Linked DNA regions of Saccharomyces cerevisiae S288C. Changing the gene in region 1 together with any one later gene gives a genetic interaction. Each region holds a gene or a part of one and is shown on either strand. Other genes may lie near its edges.

What was found. A genetic interaction does not mean that the proteins touch.
Region 2: mutations in RGD1 (region 1) and SRO7 together harm fitness more than expected from each alone (negative genetic interaction), as found in Saccharomyces cerevisiae (2 studies listed by BioGRID).
Region 3: mutations in RGD1 (region 1) and CWH43 together harm fitness more than expected from each alone (negative genetic interaction), as found in Saccharomyces cerevisiae (2 studies listed by BioGRID).

Annotation. Positions count from the first base shown.
Region 1 is NC_001134.8:732,081-736,620, forward strand, and holds RGD1 (GTPase-activating protein RGD1), read right to left. Parts: upstream 2,560-4,540; coding exon 559-2,559; downstream 1-558. Other genes in the region: YBR259W (uncharacterized protein), read left to right, coding at 1-373; TAE1 (N-terminal protein methyltransferase), read right to left, coding at 2,752-3,450; MIC12 (Mic12p), read right to left, coding at 3,640-3,960; glycine hydroxymethyltransferase SHM1, read left to right, coding at 4,184-4,540.
Region 2 is NC_001148.4:632,137-637,740, forward strand, and holds SRO7 (Rab GTPase-binding protein SRO7), read left to right. Parts: upstream 1-1,986; coding exon 1,987-5,088; downstream 5,089-5,604. Other genes in the region: NTO1 (Nto1p), read left to right, coding at 1-1,625; HTS1 (histidine--tRNA ligase), read right to left, coding at 5,243-5,604. UniProt on the Saccharomyces cerevisiae protein: Acts as an allosteric regulator of polarized exocytosis by promoting the targeted fusion of vesicles with the plasma membrane.
Region 3 is NC_001135.5:144,257-149,424, forward strand, and holds CWH43 (Cwh43p), read right to left. Parts: upstream 3,379-5,168; coding exon 517-3,378; downstream 1-516. Other genes in the region: RNA-binding ribosome assembly factor RBP95, read left to right, coding at 1-250; SRD1 (Srd1p), read right to left, coding at 3,982-4,647.

The sequences.
Region 1 (4,540 bases):
TTTCGCGAATAAGCAATTAAAGAGGGGTCAAATTTTGCAAGACGCATTTGCATTCCACCTTTTTGAAATTGAACTACCAATTATTATCGATACTACAAGAAATACGCATTTGAAACTCGTTTCCAACATGTGTACTACGAGCATATTGTACTTATATAATGAAGTTGATTCCTTATCATTAACTAGCATACAGGAAAAATTAGCTGTTTTACCGACAAGTAAACGGAATGAAATCTTATTGTACAATTTGAACAGGCTAACAAAATTGAAACTATTGTTGTTGAAAGAGAACGAAAAAGGACAAAAGTTTTACGCATTTAATTTTAAGTACAAAAGGGATGGACAGAAAACATCATTAATAAGGTTAATTTAACAACCGTGAAGACAGGGAGTTGGACCTTAGCAAGTTTTGTAGTAAATTATTATGGAATAGTACAACAGAATTTTTTTTTTTCTCAATATATAATTTTCCTTTGTTTTTACTTAAATCTGATAACAGCGTCAATGTACATACAAGTGGAAATTAAAGACGGAATGAAAATATCATAAGTGCTATGTTTATTCAGGCTCAAAAGCTTGATCTGAAACCTCTAATAATACTTCCATTGCCATAATTTGAAAATTTACATCATTAGCGTCATCTGGATTTGCAGGCGCAATAGTTGGACCCCAAATTATACAAAGAGCCCTTAAATTCATTCTGTTTTGGGCTTCATGTGCCAACACTCTTTTCAAATGAAAGACAAGAGCCCTTAACGTCCAGTATTGTGCGTCGGGGAGGTTATATATTAGTCCGTGCATAAAATTTTTTCTTGTTGTTGGGTCTTCAATTTGTAAACAAACCTTGATCTCCGATGATAGGGCCTTTGGTAAAACACTATCAGGCAGCGACGCAAAAAAAGTTTTCAGCAGTGATCCTACTAAATAAATATCCGAATCAGAATGTGGCTTTGATGGTAGAATCATGGAAATGTTTGCGGGATCCTTATCAATTTCCTCCTTCAACTTGCTGACATCAAGTACATTTGCCGATTTTCTATAAATTCCTTCTTGATCAAGCCCAAATTTATCAATAACGTATATGCATTGGCGCACTATCGCAGGGACCATGTCTTGTTCGAATTCTATCAGTGATTCTAGCGGTACACCAAATGTTTTGAAATTTTTTTGAACACCGGGTGGCATATTGTTGTTAGTCTGAATGTGAGAAATCGGGCGATCCGAGTCTAAAGAGTTAATCAATTCTTCTGGAATTTGTGGACTATTGTTGCCAGGATCCAGGGTCTTTGTTATGGATGATGTGGTGTCGCTTGTTACAATGGAAGAAGACGGTGACATAGCGCCAGCCGCATTGCTAGTGGAAGAAATAGATGAAGCCATAGTAGGTGGTAACTGCTTGTTGGTATTTAAGGACGGTGTAGCACTGTTAAGATTAGCATTCGGAACAGCGGCAGTGTTACTACTACTGCTCAAAAATGGAGATTCATTATGAGTGGATATCATTCTCTTCGGGATGGAGTTTCTTGAAGGGTCCACGGCAAACTTTGGGGGGCTCTTATTTTTCTGACCATGATTCATTGATGGATGCTTTTTGTATGATACAGGGATCAAGTTTTTGTTGATCAGTAGGGAATGTTTTCCTGTTTGGTTATACTTGTTCAAAAAACTGTAAAGATCACGTTCATTGGAAACAGATCCAGCAAATGATTTCATAGATTTGGTGGAGTCCAATGGGCTTATTGTAACACCTGTATTCAGAACCAAATTTTCCGTCCATATCGTGTACTTCTGCAATTGGATAGTCATCGCTGTGTCTATTTCTAAAATCAAATCTTTTAATTCTTGAACAATTCTAGGTCTCTCCTTCGTTATGAATGTGTTTCTCAAAGAATTAGAATGATCTACTTTTTGCTTATATTCCAGATCGGCGTTATCGATTTTTCTTAACAATTCTTCTTCTTGTTCCTTCGTAGTTTTGGAACCTCTCAAGGTCAGCTTTGTTTTTGTTGGGTCAGTCATCCTCAATTTGTCCCAATCTTGGCACAACGAATTGTAACGAGATTGCGCCTTTTCTGCGCTGTGTATGGCATCAGAAACATCCTTTTCCAGCCTTTTGCTGTTCTCCTTGACAGACTTTCTTAATTTTGTCATTGTTAATAAAAGACTACTAATCTCGGAGTACATTTTCTGCAAGGCGGTGATATAACTCTGCTTTACTTGAGCCATCTTGCCATCGAATCCCAAAACTTCGTGAATCATCTTTTTTAAGGATGAATTTGTGGAACCCTGAATGTTGAAAAAGTGCTTATATTGCTTGGAGAGCTCCTGAACGTGCTCTTCTTCGAAGGCGTATTTCTTTCTAATAAATTTCATAAACTCTTCACAAGTCAACAACGACTGCTTTAAACGGCTCAACAAAGCGTTAATTGCCACATCGGAATTTAGCACCTTCTTGATCTCTGGCGTGCTAAAAAGGTGCGCCAAATCGTCGGTGCCACCATCGTGCGACGACTTCGCACTTACTGTGGCACTAGCTGGTTTCTTCGCAGTCTCTTCCATCTTGTCTATATCACTTCTCTTTTAATCTTCCGAGATTGTATGTTTTTACTTTACATACTATTTTGTTCACATTCTTTATTTTCTGGGTTCTTTTTCCATATATATCGAAAAAAAAGTCTATATAATGGCACAAATGGTGAATGCCAGCACAAGAAAAGGGGCGTATCTATATAAATCTATGCATCCTTGATCCTAGTTTGGCATGGGCTTGAGTGCGTACATCCTCACTGGGTACAATTCTCTTGGTAAGCCACGTTGTCTTTCACTGGCGATGAGCTTTAGGCCAGCTTCTTCGAAGATTTGCCTGAACTTAGCATCTGACCTTGTGACCGAAGAATCCGTTTCGTCGAAATCATCGGTATCTGTAGGTGTGTTATTTTCTTTGACCACGATTGTCCCATTAGGTTGCAAACCAACAATACATCTTTTCAGGAATGCGACGAGTTCTGCATCTGGCAGGTGTCCCACGCACCATTGGCACCAGATCAGCCAGTACTTGCCGGCATCGGGGGTCCAGTCCTGCATCCCTACTTCATATATTTGTCCAATTTGGCCTTTGTCTTTCAGCTCAGCCAATTCAACGTGCATTTGCTCGATAAAAGGCTTTACCGGTTCTACAAGGTCTATCTTAGCGGCGTGCTTGTGAAGCATGGTCTTGCTTACACGTCCAATCCCCGCACCAATGTCTACAGCGTACTTCACGTTGTTCTCCTGAGGCAGCATCCTCGACTTCAGTTTACGCAGGAAGTTATTGGATCCCAGGACATCCATTGTGGGTACTACTGTACCTTCTCCGTATCCACCTAGAACACCATCCACAGTGGCGTCCACATCCGTCCAATAGTCGATGGCATCTTCGTATTTGATATGGGAATCTGCAGGCACGTCCATCGTTGTTGTTTATGTATTCTTTCTTGGAGATGCTCTTGACACCGATGCACATTACCAGAGTGAAAAGTACTGATTAATAATTAAATTTTTCTTTTGATATTTTTTCTGAATATAAAGTTCTACACAGAGTCGTTACAATAGGTTATATACATGAGGATGTTCGTTACAGTAGGAGAAATAGAAAGCTCGCTAATTCTTACCCCAGGAGTAGATCCAATCGACAGAGTTTCTTATCTGTTCATTCCAAATATCTTTTATGCTCTCCCCCATGGTCCTGCTCCATGCAGTGCCATCATCCGTCACAACTAGCTTGCGGTTCCTGGTCTCCCCAGGTACCACTTCTTTTCTATCCACCAGGTCCTGTACCTGATGATCTTGTTTCAACCATGTAGCATCGTGATCGTAGAAGTAGCCATTGTTACTGTATCGGTACAGGTAAAAAACAGAACCGATTACTCCCACAGAGAGAGTCCACTTCACAGATCTTGCTAACGGACCCAATTTCGACATGATTCTCTCCGTTATCTGCTGGTTCTTAGTCCACTGTCTGTTCTGTCCCCCTTCTGTCCAAGAGATAGAATATAAAAAAGACTCATTATTTTTTTTTAGGTACTTCGCTTATTGGTGGTCAATGAGAAAAAAAATACTAAAAGCCATCGCCTCTTGGAGAAGAGCAAACTATCAAAAATCATCAAGCCGACATTTCCACATCGAGTCTCATAGTCTTTCAATCATGTTTCCCAGAGCTTCTGCATTGGCCAAATGTATGGCAACTGTTCATCGTCGTGGGCTACTCACCAGTGGTGCACAATCGCTAGTCTCCAAACCAGTCTCGGAGGGAGATCCAGAGATGTTTGACATCTTGCAACAAGAACGTCACAGACAAAAACACTCTATCACCCTTATCCCATCAGAAAACTTCACCTCGAAGGCCGTTATGGATTTGCTAGGTTCTGAGCTCCAAAACAAGTATTCTGAAGGTTATCCAGGTGAAAGATACTACGGAGGTAACGAAATCATCGATAAGTCCGAATCCTTGTGTCAAGCAAGAGCTCTGGAACTGTACGGATTAGACCCTGCCAAGTGGGGA
Region 2 (5,604 bases), on another chromosome or scaffold:
CTCACGAAATATTTGAAATTTTAATGACTACACTAGAAACTGAATGGTTCCATATTGAAAAACATATACCCTCAACGAATAGTCTGATTGCTAGGCATAATATTCTAAGGGACTGTAAGAATTATGAGCTATATGGTTCTGATGATGGAACAGGTTTATCGATGGACCAGGCGTGTGCAGTTTGTTTAGGCACAGACAGTGACAATCTGAATACAATTGTCTTTTGTGATGGATGCGATATTGCTGTGCATCAAGAATGTTACGGTATAATTTTTATCCCGGAAGGAAAATGGTTATGTAGACGATGTATGATCTCAAAAAATAACTTTGCCACTTGTCTAATGTGTCCAAGTCATACAGGTGCATTCAAACAAACAGACACCGGTTCTTGGGTACATAACATTTGTGCTCTATGGCTTCCAGAGCTATACTTTTCAAACTTACATTATATGGAACCTATAGAAGGCGTTCAAAATGTTAGCGTATCACGATGGAAACTTAACTGCTACATCTGTAAAAAGAAGATGGGTGCTTGCATTCAGTGCTTTCAAAGAAACTGTTTTACAGCATATCATGTCACGTGTGCCCGTCGAGCTGGTCTCTACATGAGTAAAGGGAAATGCACTATTCAAGAATTGGCCTCTAATCAATTCTCCCAAAAGTATTCAGTCGAAAGTTTCTGCCACAAGCATGCACCTAGAGGATGGCAAACGAGTATAGAAGGTATTAATAAAGCTAGAAAATACTTCTCTCTACTCTCTACATTACAAACCGAAACTCCTCAGCATAATGAAGCTAATGATAGGACAAATTCAAAATTCAACAAAACAATTTGGAAAACACCTAATCAAACGCCGGTAGCACCACATGTTTTTGCTGAAATATTGCAAAAGGTCGTTGATTTTTTTGGCTTAGCTAACCCACCAGCAGGCGCATTTGATATTTGCAAATATTGGTCAATGAAAAGGGAGCTTACAGGAGGTACCCCATTAACTGCCTGTTTTGAAAATAATTCATTGGGGTCCTTAACCGAGGAACAAGTGCAAACAAGAATAGATTTTGCCAATGATCAGCTCGAAGACTTGTACCGGCTCAAAGAGCTGACTACTTTGGTGAAAAAGAGAACACAAGCTTCAAACAGCTTGTCCAGATCCCGAAAGAAGGTTTTTGATATAGTTAAATCGCCCCAAAAATATCTTTTAAAAATCAATGTACTGGATATCTTTATAAAATCTGAACAATTCAAGGCTCTTGAAAGATTGGTTACTGAACCTAAATTATTGGTTATTTTAGAAAAGTGTAAACATTGTGATTTTGATACTGTCCAAATTTTTAAGGAGGAAATTATGCATTTTTTTGAGGTTTTGGAAACTCTACCCGGTGCATCAAGAATACTCCAAACTGTCTCATCAAAGGCAAAAGAGCAAGTAACAAATTTAATTGGGCTCATAGAACATGTAGATATTAAGAAGTTGCTATCCAGAGATTTTATAATAAATGATGACAAGATAGAAGAAAGACCATGGAGTGGCCCGGTGATTATGGAAGAAGAAGGTTTAAGCGATGCAGAAGAACTGAGTGCAGGGGAACACCGTATGCTGAAGCTAATCCTTAACAGCGGATAAAATAAAGGTTTTAATATTGCATTATGTATAATGAGTATGTATTTTTATGCTATTCTTGTAAAAGTTTGGCTTATTATTTACTTTCATGGAACACTTAGTAAAAATAACTTAGAAAGGTCGTCTTTTCTTTATTCTTTAGCATTTCAATACCGAACTAAATATCCGTTTTTATAGTTTAGTTGGTTTTGTTTAATTTCTAGAATCCTGTTCGGCGCTTTTGTTAAAAGTAAAAAATGAAAATTCAAACGAAATGAACCTAATCACGTTAGAATTTAAATCTTGGAATATGTTAAATATAAAACAAGAAGAGCAAGCAATACTATTTCTGACTAATTCTCTATACACATAAGAGCAAAACAAAATGTTCGGTAGCAAACGTCTGAAAAATGTTAAGGAAGCATTTAAGTCCCTAAAAGGCCAAAATTCAGAGACACCCATTGAGAACTCAAAGGCGTCTTTTAAATCCAAAAATTCAAAGACATCTACTATTTCCAAAGATGCGAAATCTTCCTCTTCTTTGAAGATTCCTATAAGTTCAAATAACAAAAATAAAATTTTTTCACTAGCAGAAACCAACAAATATGGGATGAGCAGTAAACCGATCGCAGCCGCTTTCGATTTCACCCAAAATTTATTGGCAATTGCTACAGTCACAGGGGAAGTCCATATTTATGGCCAGCAACAAGTGGAAGTGGTTATAAAACTGGAGGATAGATCTGCTATAAAAGAAATGAGATTTGTGAAAGGTATCTATTTGGTGGTCATTAACGCAAAAGATACTGTGTATGTTTTATCGTTATATTCTCAAAAAGTACTTACAACAGTGTTTGTTCCGGGGAAAATAACATCAATTGACACAGATGCATCCTTAGACTGGATGCTAATCGGCCTTCAAAATGGTTCAATGATAGTTTACGACATAGATAGGGATCAACTTTCCTCCTTCAAATTAGACAACCTACAAAAAAGCTCATTTTTTCCGGCTGCAAGACTATCACCTATAGTATCCATTCAGTGGAACCCTAGAGATATTGGAACTGTTTTAATATCATATGAGTATGTAACTCTAACATACTCATTGGTTGAGAACGAAATCAAACAATCCTTCATATACGAATTACCACCTTTTGCTCCAGGAGGCGACTTCTCAGAAAAAACCAATGAAAAGAGAACTCCCAAAGTTATTCAGTCCTTATATCACCCTAATTCACTGCACATTATCACTATTCATGAAGACAATTCCTTGGTTTTCTGGGATGCTAATTCAGGCCATATGATCATGGCAAGGACAGTGTTTGAGACAGAAATCAATGTTCCACAACCTGATTACATACGCGATTCTAGTACTAATGCTGCCAAAATTTCGAAAGTGTATTGGATGTGTGAAAACAATCCAGAATATACTTCACTACTCATCTCTCATAAGTCAATCAGCAGAGGAGATAATCAAAGTCTCACTATGATCGACCTCGGTTACACACCTAGATATTCAATAACCTCTTATGAAGGTATGAAGAACTACTATGCAAATCCGAAACAAATGAAGATATTTCCCTTACCAACCAATGTGCCAATAGTGAATATACTACCAATTCCAAGACAGTCCCCGTATTTTGCAGGATGTCATAATCCGGGGTTAATTTTGTTAATCCTAGGTAACGGTGAGATAGAAACAATGCTATATCCTTCTGGAATATTTACAGATAAAGCCTCTTTATTCCCTCAAAATCTTTCCTGGCTGAGACCATTAGCCACGACTTCAATGGCCGCTTCTGTACCAAACAAATTATGGCTTGGTGCGCTTTCTGCAGCTCAAAACAAGGATTATTTGTTGAAGGGAGGGGTTAGAACAAAAAGGCAAAAACTTCCCGCTGAGTACGGTACAGCATTCATTACCGGCCATTCTAATGGCTCAGTTAGGATATACGATGCTTCCCATGGGGATATACAAGATAATGCTAGCTTTGAAGTGAATCTATCAAGAACGTTGAACAAGGCCAAAGAACTAGCAGTTGATAAGATATCTTTTGCCGCAGAGACTCTCGAGTTGGCGGTGTCAATTGAAACAGGAGACGTTGTTTTATTCAAATATGAAGTAAACCAGTTTTACAGTGTTGAGAACAGACCAGAAAGCGGTGACCTGGAGATGAATTTCAGGCGGTTTTCTTTGAATAATACGAATGGTGTTCTCGTCGATGTGAGAGACAGGGCACCTACCGGTGTTAGGCAGGGATTTATGCCATCAACTGCCGTGCATGCCAACAAAGGGAAAACATCTGCAATCAACAACAGTAATATTGGATTTGTTGGAATCGCATATGCTGCCGGAAGCCTTATGTTGATCGATAGAAGAGGTCCTGCAATCATTTACATGGAAAACATTAGAGAAATCTCGGGAGCTCAAAGCGCATGTGTTACCTGCATCGAATTCGTAATTATGGAGTATGGAGACGATGGTTACTCTAGTATATTGATGGTCTGTGGTACTGATATGGGCGAGGTAATCACATACAAAATTCTTCCTGCATCAGGTGGAAAGTTCGATGTGCAACTAATGGATATTACTAATGTTACCAGTAAGGGTCCGATACACAAAATTGATGCATTTTCAAAGGAAACAAAATCTAGCTGCTTGGCAACTATTCCAAAAATGCAGAATTTAAGTAAAGGCCTTTGCATTCCTGGTATTGTATTAATAACTGGATTCGATGATATCAGATTAATAACACTGGGCAAATCTAAAAGTACACATAAAGGTTTCAAATACCCGCTTGCCGCGACAGGTTTATCTTACATCTCAACCGTTGAGAAAAATAATGATAGGAAGAACCTAACCGTAATAATTACATTAGAAATCAATGGCCATCTAAGAGTTTTTACTATTCCAGATTTCAAAGAACAAATGTCTGAACATATTCCATTTCCAATTGCCGCAAAATACATTACAGAATCATCTGTTTTAAGAAATGGTGATATAGCGATTCGAGTGAGTGAATTTCAGGCGTCACTATTTTCTACTGTCAAGGAACAGGATACGCTAGCGCCAGTTTCTGACACACTGTACATCAATGGAATCAGGATTCCCTATAGGCCACAAGTAAATTCATTACAGTGGGCAAGAGGCACTGTATATTGTACTCCCGCTCAATTAAATGAATTATTGGGTGGCGTGAATAGACCTGCATCCAAATACAAAGAGAGCATCATTGCTGAGGGAAGTTTCTCGGAGCGTTCTTCAGACGATAATAATGCGAACCATCCGGAACACCAGTATACCAAGCCCACCCGTAAGGGCAGGAACAGTAGTTACGGGGTACTAAGAAATGTTTCTCGAGCTGTAGAAACTAGATGGGACGCCGTTGAAGATAGATTCAACGACTATGCTACCGCCATGGGAGAAACAATGAACGAGGCTGTTGAGCAGACTGGAAAAGATGTAATGAAAGGTGCCCTTGGTTTTTAAATACATACACTAATTCATACAGGGTAATGAGCAACTTCCTTCTATACTTATTTTTTTTTAGTTCTATATGCTTTATAAATTAATTTGAATCGATTTATTTTTCATTATACATGTCTAGTTTTACGAAGGTTTGTAAATACATGAGCTATCAAGTTTATAATCCTTTAATTAAACGAGTGACCTCATTTAGACCATCTTCATGAATTTGTGATAACTTTTCTTGAACAATAGGAACAATGTCAGCCGCACTAACCAATTCACCATCATCATCGGCAAATTCTTGGCCCAATCTTTTGACACGTAATTTACCTTCTAAGTACTCCTCCTTACCGAGGATTACGGCAATGTGACAACCCGCTTTTTCAGCAGCATCGAATTGCTTCCTAGGATTAGCCTTGGCCTTATAGACATATTCAGCTTCAATGCCAGCATCCCATAATTGCTTAGTAACCTTCATTCTTTCGGGTAAATAACCAGTCCAGTCCTTACCACCACCAAAAGCCATAACGAACACCT
Region 3 (5,168 bases), on another chromosome or scaffold:
TCAAGAAACAAAAATAAAAGCGTTAATTGCAGAGGATAAGGCTAGCGAACCAATTAATGGTGAAGAAAAAGAAGAAGGTGAAAAAGACGGTAATGCCGAACAAGGGAAGCAAAAAGAGGTACAAGACGAGCAAGAGGAAGTACAAATGCCGAATAAAGAGCTTGTTCAAAGAAGTCTGAAATTACTAGAAATTTGGAAGAATGATGACTCGGAGCAGATAGAACTTAAGAATTTCTTCGTTGATGTTTAACATAGAGTTCAACAACGTTGTTCAGTTGTAGTATATATTTTACTGTGAAATACGCTCAAAAAGTAGCGGGATAAATCGTTTCAGGAAGTATAATTTCTTACAAAACTATAACAAGATCGTCTAAGTAACATACATAAAGAAATCACATAAATTTTTAAAATTCGAGGTCAAAAAAATCAGGTGGATACATAACTTACCTTAAGTTATCAAGATTTTCAGTACACACAATGTGATTACACTGATTTATAAAACCACCTTACGGCCTCTTATAAGTAATAACGTGGCTCATCAAAAACATGGTAGAAGTGACCCCTCTCACCTTCGCCTAAAAACTTATCTGGAAATTTCATGTCCTCATATTCCGGTTCACTCATATGACCGTATTCATACATAGAATCCGAGTGCTCTACTAACGCTTGCTCACTCAAAACTTGGAACTTACCAACTTGTAGCTCCGTATCGGTTATCGTTCCTCTTGCAACTCTAGCATATCCTGTTCTTCTCAAGCCCCTATACAAGATATACTCACACCATCTATCATCGTCAGAAGGATCAATGTCGTGCATTCCGGATGTTTCACTAACGTACGTATTGTAGTTGCCTTCACCTGGATCAACAACTAAGTAACTTAATAAAATAGCTGGGCGAGTCGTATTGCCCATGAGCTTAGCCATGTAGTTACTTTGCAGTCTTCTATCCTCTTCATCCTCTTCTTGTCCACTATGGAATACAAAGACGTCAACGAGAGTGTCATTGTACGTTTGAAGTGTGGCATGAATGGCTGGCGCAAGTTCCCCAACTGGAGAGGGCAATAAATGATGCGTAGAATTTACGATAGGGAATTTAGAAAGAAGAACACAGCCCCAGGTATGTTTATTTGGACCTGGTCCGAAATCTGCATACATATTCAAATCATGAGCTAGTTTGCTAGTTAGATCCCTGTTCCCCATGGTAATTCTTTGTGTATCTGTTTCTAGTAGACCTACCACATCTAGTTCCATATCTTTAATAAGGTTGATCATTCTGTCTTCAGATGCCCACATATCATTATCGAGACCAAAGTGGATAGTCCAAATACCAGCTGTAATCAACTGAGAATCTGGATGATAAGGCTGAGGAATTCCTGTAGGTCTAATATCATACACGAACCTAGCTGTTAGTGATAGCAGGGCCACGGCAAAGAAGAAAACATAAATGAAGAATTTTTTGCCCATAGTCACCAGTTGAATGTTAAGGTTTTTGCATGTTAAAGCACCAATAATGATAAATGTGGAAGAAAAGGCAAGAACCGTCTCAATCTTCTCCCTCAGTACCCAGCCCATTGGAACAAATGCGTATGCAACGACCCAAACATGGGCAAGGACAAAGATAATATAAACGGAGAATGATAGGACATAAACCCATATGTTTTGAACTTGGCCTAATGCAGAAAAATACGAAGGAACTAACCAAAGCATAGCGATAGCGTACAATAAACCACCGAAAATATATTTAGGCCATTGTGTAATGCTTCTAGCTGAAAGTACAGCAGTGGATATGAGAAGCAACAAACATGGAACTAATGGCTTGCCCATAAACTTCACAGAACTCAAAGAAGCAAATAACATGACCGTACAAGTTAAGGCGCCCCAAGGCCATGGCAAGGGACCGTGTGATTCATTGTAACCTTCCCATGCCCAATAAATAGTAGTAGAAGAATCCGTCAATAACTGATGAATTCCGAATAACAACGAGCCAAAACCAACAGCCAAAAATAATTTGCCAATCAACGAAGCAGATTTTGCTTGAGCATTCCTTTTCCCTTCGAAATTAATTGAATTAACATAAGGCGACAGCATGCCGAATAAAACAGTAAGCACGAGAGCTGTCTTATTATACCCACCATTACGTTCATCTAAAATGACCCAAGTTGGATTGTTGGTATAGAACCCCATTTTCAAGATCACAGATGCAACAAGACCTAACAGCCAAGTTAGAGCAAAAGAGAAACTAGTCTCCGCATTTGTGATATATCTTAGATTTTGTACAAACGTTGCAACGGTAATGGAAGTTCCCACAGCTACAGAAATCAACCTTAATTCTGGCATCTGAACAATATAGGCACCAATGGCAATAATACCTCCTAAAAGTACACCATATTGCGTGAAGGCTTCAGAAACGAACGGCAGATATAAGAAAATGGGTCCCAAATAACCCAATATTGCAGCTTCATAACCTGAGATTCCCATATACCATAGCGGGAAATGCCAAATACTACATAACAGGGACGTAACGTTCGACCAGAAAAGAAAACCGTTAAAAATATTTGTTAGTAAGTAAAAAAAAGAGTCAAACCTGAAATATGAACCAGTTGCGCTTCTAGCAACGGGTTTTTCCTTTTCAACCTTCTTTTCACCACTTTTCTGCAATTCTGAACTTTTTTCTTCTCCATAATTTATGGGACTAGAGTCTCTAATTTGGAAAAAACTGGTATTACCGGGTTTCTCATTAAAAGCGAGAACAATATCTATCTTTTTGAAATCAGCGTAAGCAAATGCATCAAATGCAATATCTAAAAGAATCAGAGACCATTCGAAATAAGCATATATAGAATATGCCCCAGCTCTCTGTTGGACGGAGTGCTGAATGTACCAGTAAATCATCGGGAACAATGTTCCAAAAAAAATTGTAGCAGTCAACCCTTTGTTCTTCGAAGTTAAAGGACTAGAATAGCGGGTAATCATTATATCCCATGGTAACGTTAAAACAATGTATGTGATCATAAATATATCATGAATATCGTGGTCATCTGTACTTGTAATGTATACCCAACCACCGCAAGAGACTGTCCGGAGTACACCGACAAGGAAGCATACCTTAGATTGGTTCAAGTAGTAGTGACCTAGTAGCAGTAAAAATCTTGGAAAAGCAGTTAGAGCTATTAAGATTTGGAAAATAGAACGTTCCGGATAGCGGTCCCCGATAGTGGCTGATACACTAGGAAACCACTCATCTGGATACGTATAATGTGCATTGGTTACAATTTTATGAAAATGTAATGAATAACCAGTGACCAAAGCTGCAAAGAAGGCGGAGAATGCACAAATAGTATGAGCTATAGGGATGATCTTCCCATTGATGATCAGCATAACTGGCGGTGGATACCTTCTGTATTCCTGGTTACTTATTCCTCGAGAAATCGGACATTAAAAGGGTGCAAATACTGTGGAGAAATTATAAGTTACCAAGTCAAAAAGCGAATGAGAATCTATTGTTGCGATTTTTTTGGTTACTACTTCTTACCCGAACTAACTTTACATAATAAAAAAGCATGAAGCGCATATTCAGGGACTCAAAAATCCCAAACTGGCACTTCTGTATATACCGATGAGCATACTTTGATTGTAAAAAACAACATTAAAAAGAACTGCAAACCTGAACCAAGAATACTTAATTTCAAAACCGAGAAATGAGGTACAACTTGTAGAAGTTCACTTAAACTTATTGAGCATACAATCTCAACAAAACTAACTGCAAAGTTTGTTGCTATAGTCATATAGTAATACTAGCAGGAAGCCATTAATCAAAAAGAAACTCCATATAAAACGTAATAAATATTATGAATAATAGTACAATATAAGAACAAAGACGAAGAAAATACATTATAACTGAAGTGCCAATATTAGAAAAAAAAAAGGTGGAATATCCTAGTGGAAAAATATCATCTATGCGGTGAAAGAATTAAATAGATACTATGGATTGTTTCGATCTATCCTTTTATCTGCTGCTTGCCTTTTTTTTTCATTCTCCTTCTTCAGTCTTTTTCCATAGGCGAGTCCACAGGGACTACAAAGTTCCCTGTTTTGGTCGGGTCCACTACGCCATTGAATTGTCCAAGTGTCTTTACATTTAGAGCATTCCTTTATCTCACCATTTGGGAGGATTGTTTGTCTCTTTTCTCTTTTAGGACGACTAGTAGTCTTTTTGCTGTATTTCTTCGTAATACTGGCAGACCGACTAGTTCCTTGTGCACAACTATGGTAGCCTTCAAGATTGTTTGCTTCTTGGCTAGTCGTACGTCTCTCGGAATTGCATGCACTAGTTACACGATTCTTTGAGGGTGTAATTTCGTTCAAAGAGCTGGTTTTGTTCTTAACAATATTTCTTGTAAGATCTCTTAGTTGTTCGGCATTCTCAATTTTTTTTTCAACATCAACAGCCCTTATTTGAGAAAAGGATACTTCAATAAATGAGCAACTTGCATAAACTCTTCCGCGTTCCTTATATGCCTTCTTTTTATCGTTTGACTTCCAGTCATCAATTTCTCTATTTAATAATAACGTTTTCTCCATATCTGACTTTTTAACTACTCTAGTTAAGAAGGAACTTCCAGAGTTGTCATAATTATTATATCGCATACTAGCAATAGTAAATGTCTGGTTATTTACCTAGCAACCTCTTAACAAAGCGATAACAATGAAACAGCAATATAAGTCTATTTAATTGACAACATCATTGATAAAAGTTTGAACAAGCGTCTAAAAGTCGAAGAAGTTCATTTCAAAGTTTTGTGTATCGAGCTTGATGATACTTATTTAGGGATCCGCTCTAGTTTACTGTGATACAACTGAAAAACATTACAAAGCTATCGCGCCTGCATTCTCATATTAGTGGCGTATGTTTGTGTCACATTCGATACTTCTACATAATACAATGACTGAACCCTTACCGCTGGCACAGGAATACCGCGCCGCGAAAGCAGGGTCTAGGAGAAACAATAGAATTCTTGGCGATGAGAGAGGGGAAGGCTTTAATAAAAAAAAATAGCGCTTATCCGATTCTGTTGGAATAAGTGGCTATCAATATTTACATGTTGATATGGTAGTAAGGATATAAATGCTTATATTGAATATTTGGAATAAGCATCAACTATCACTTA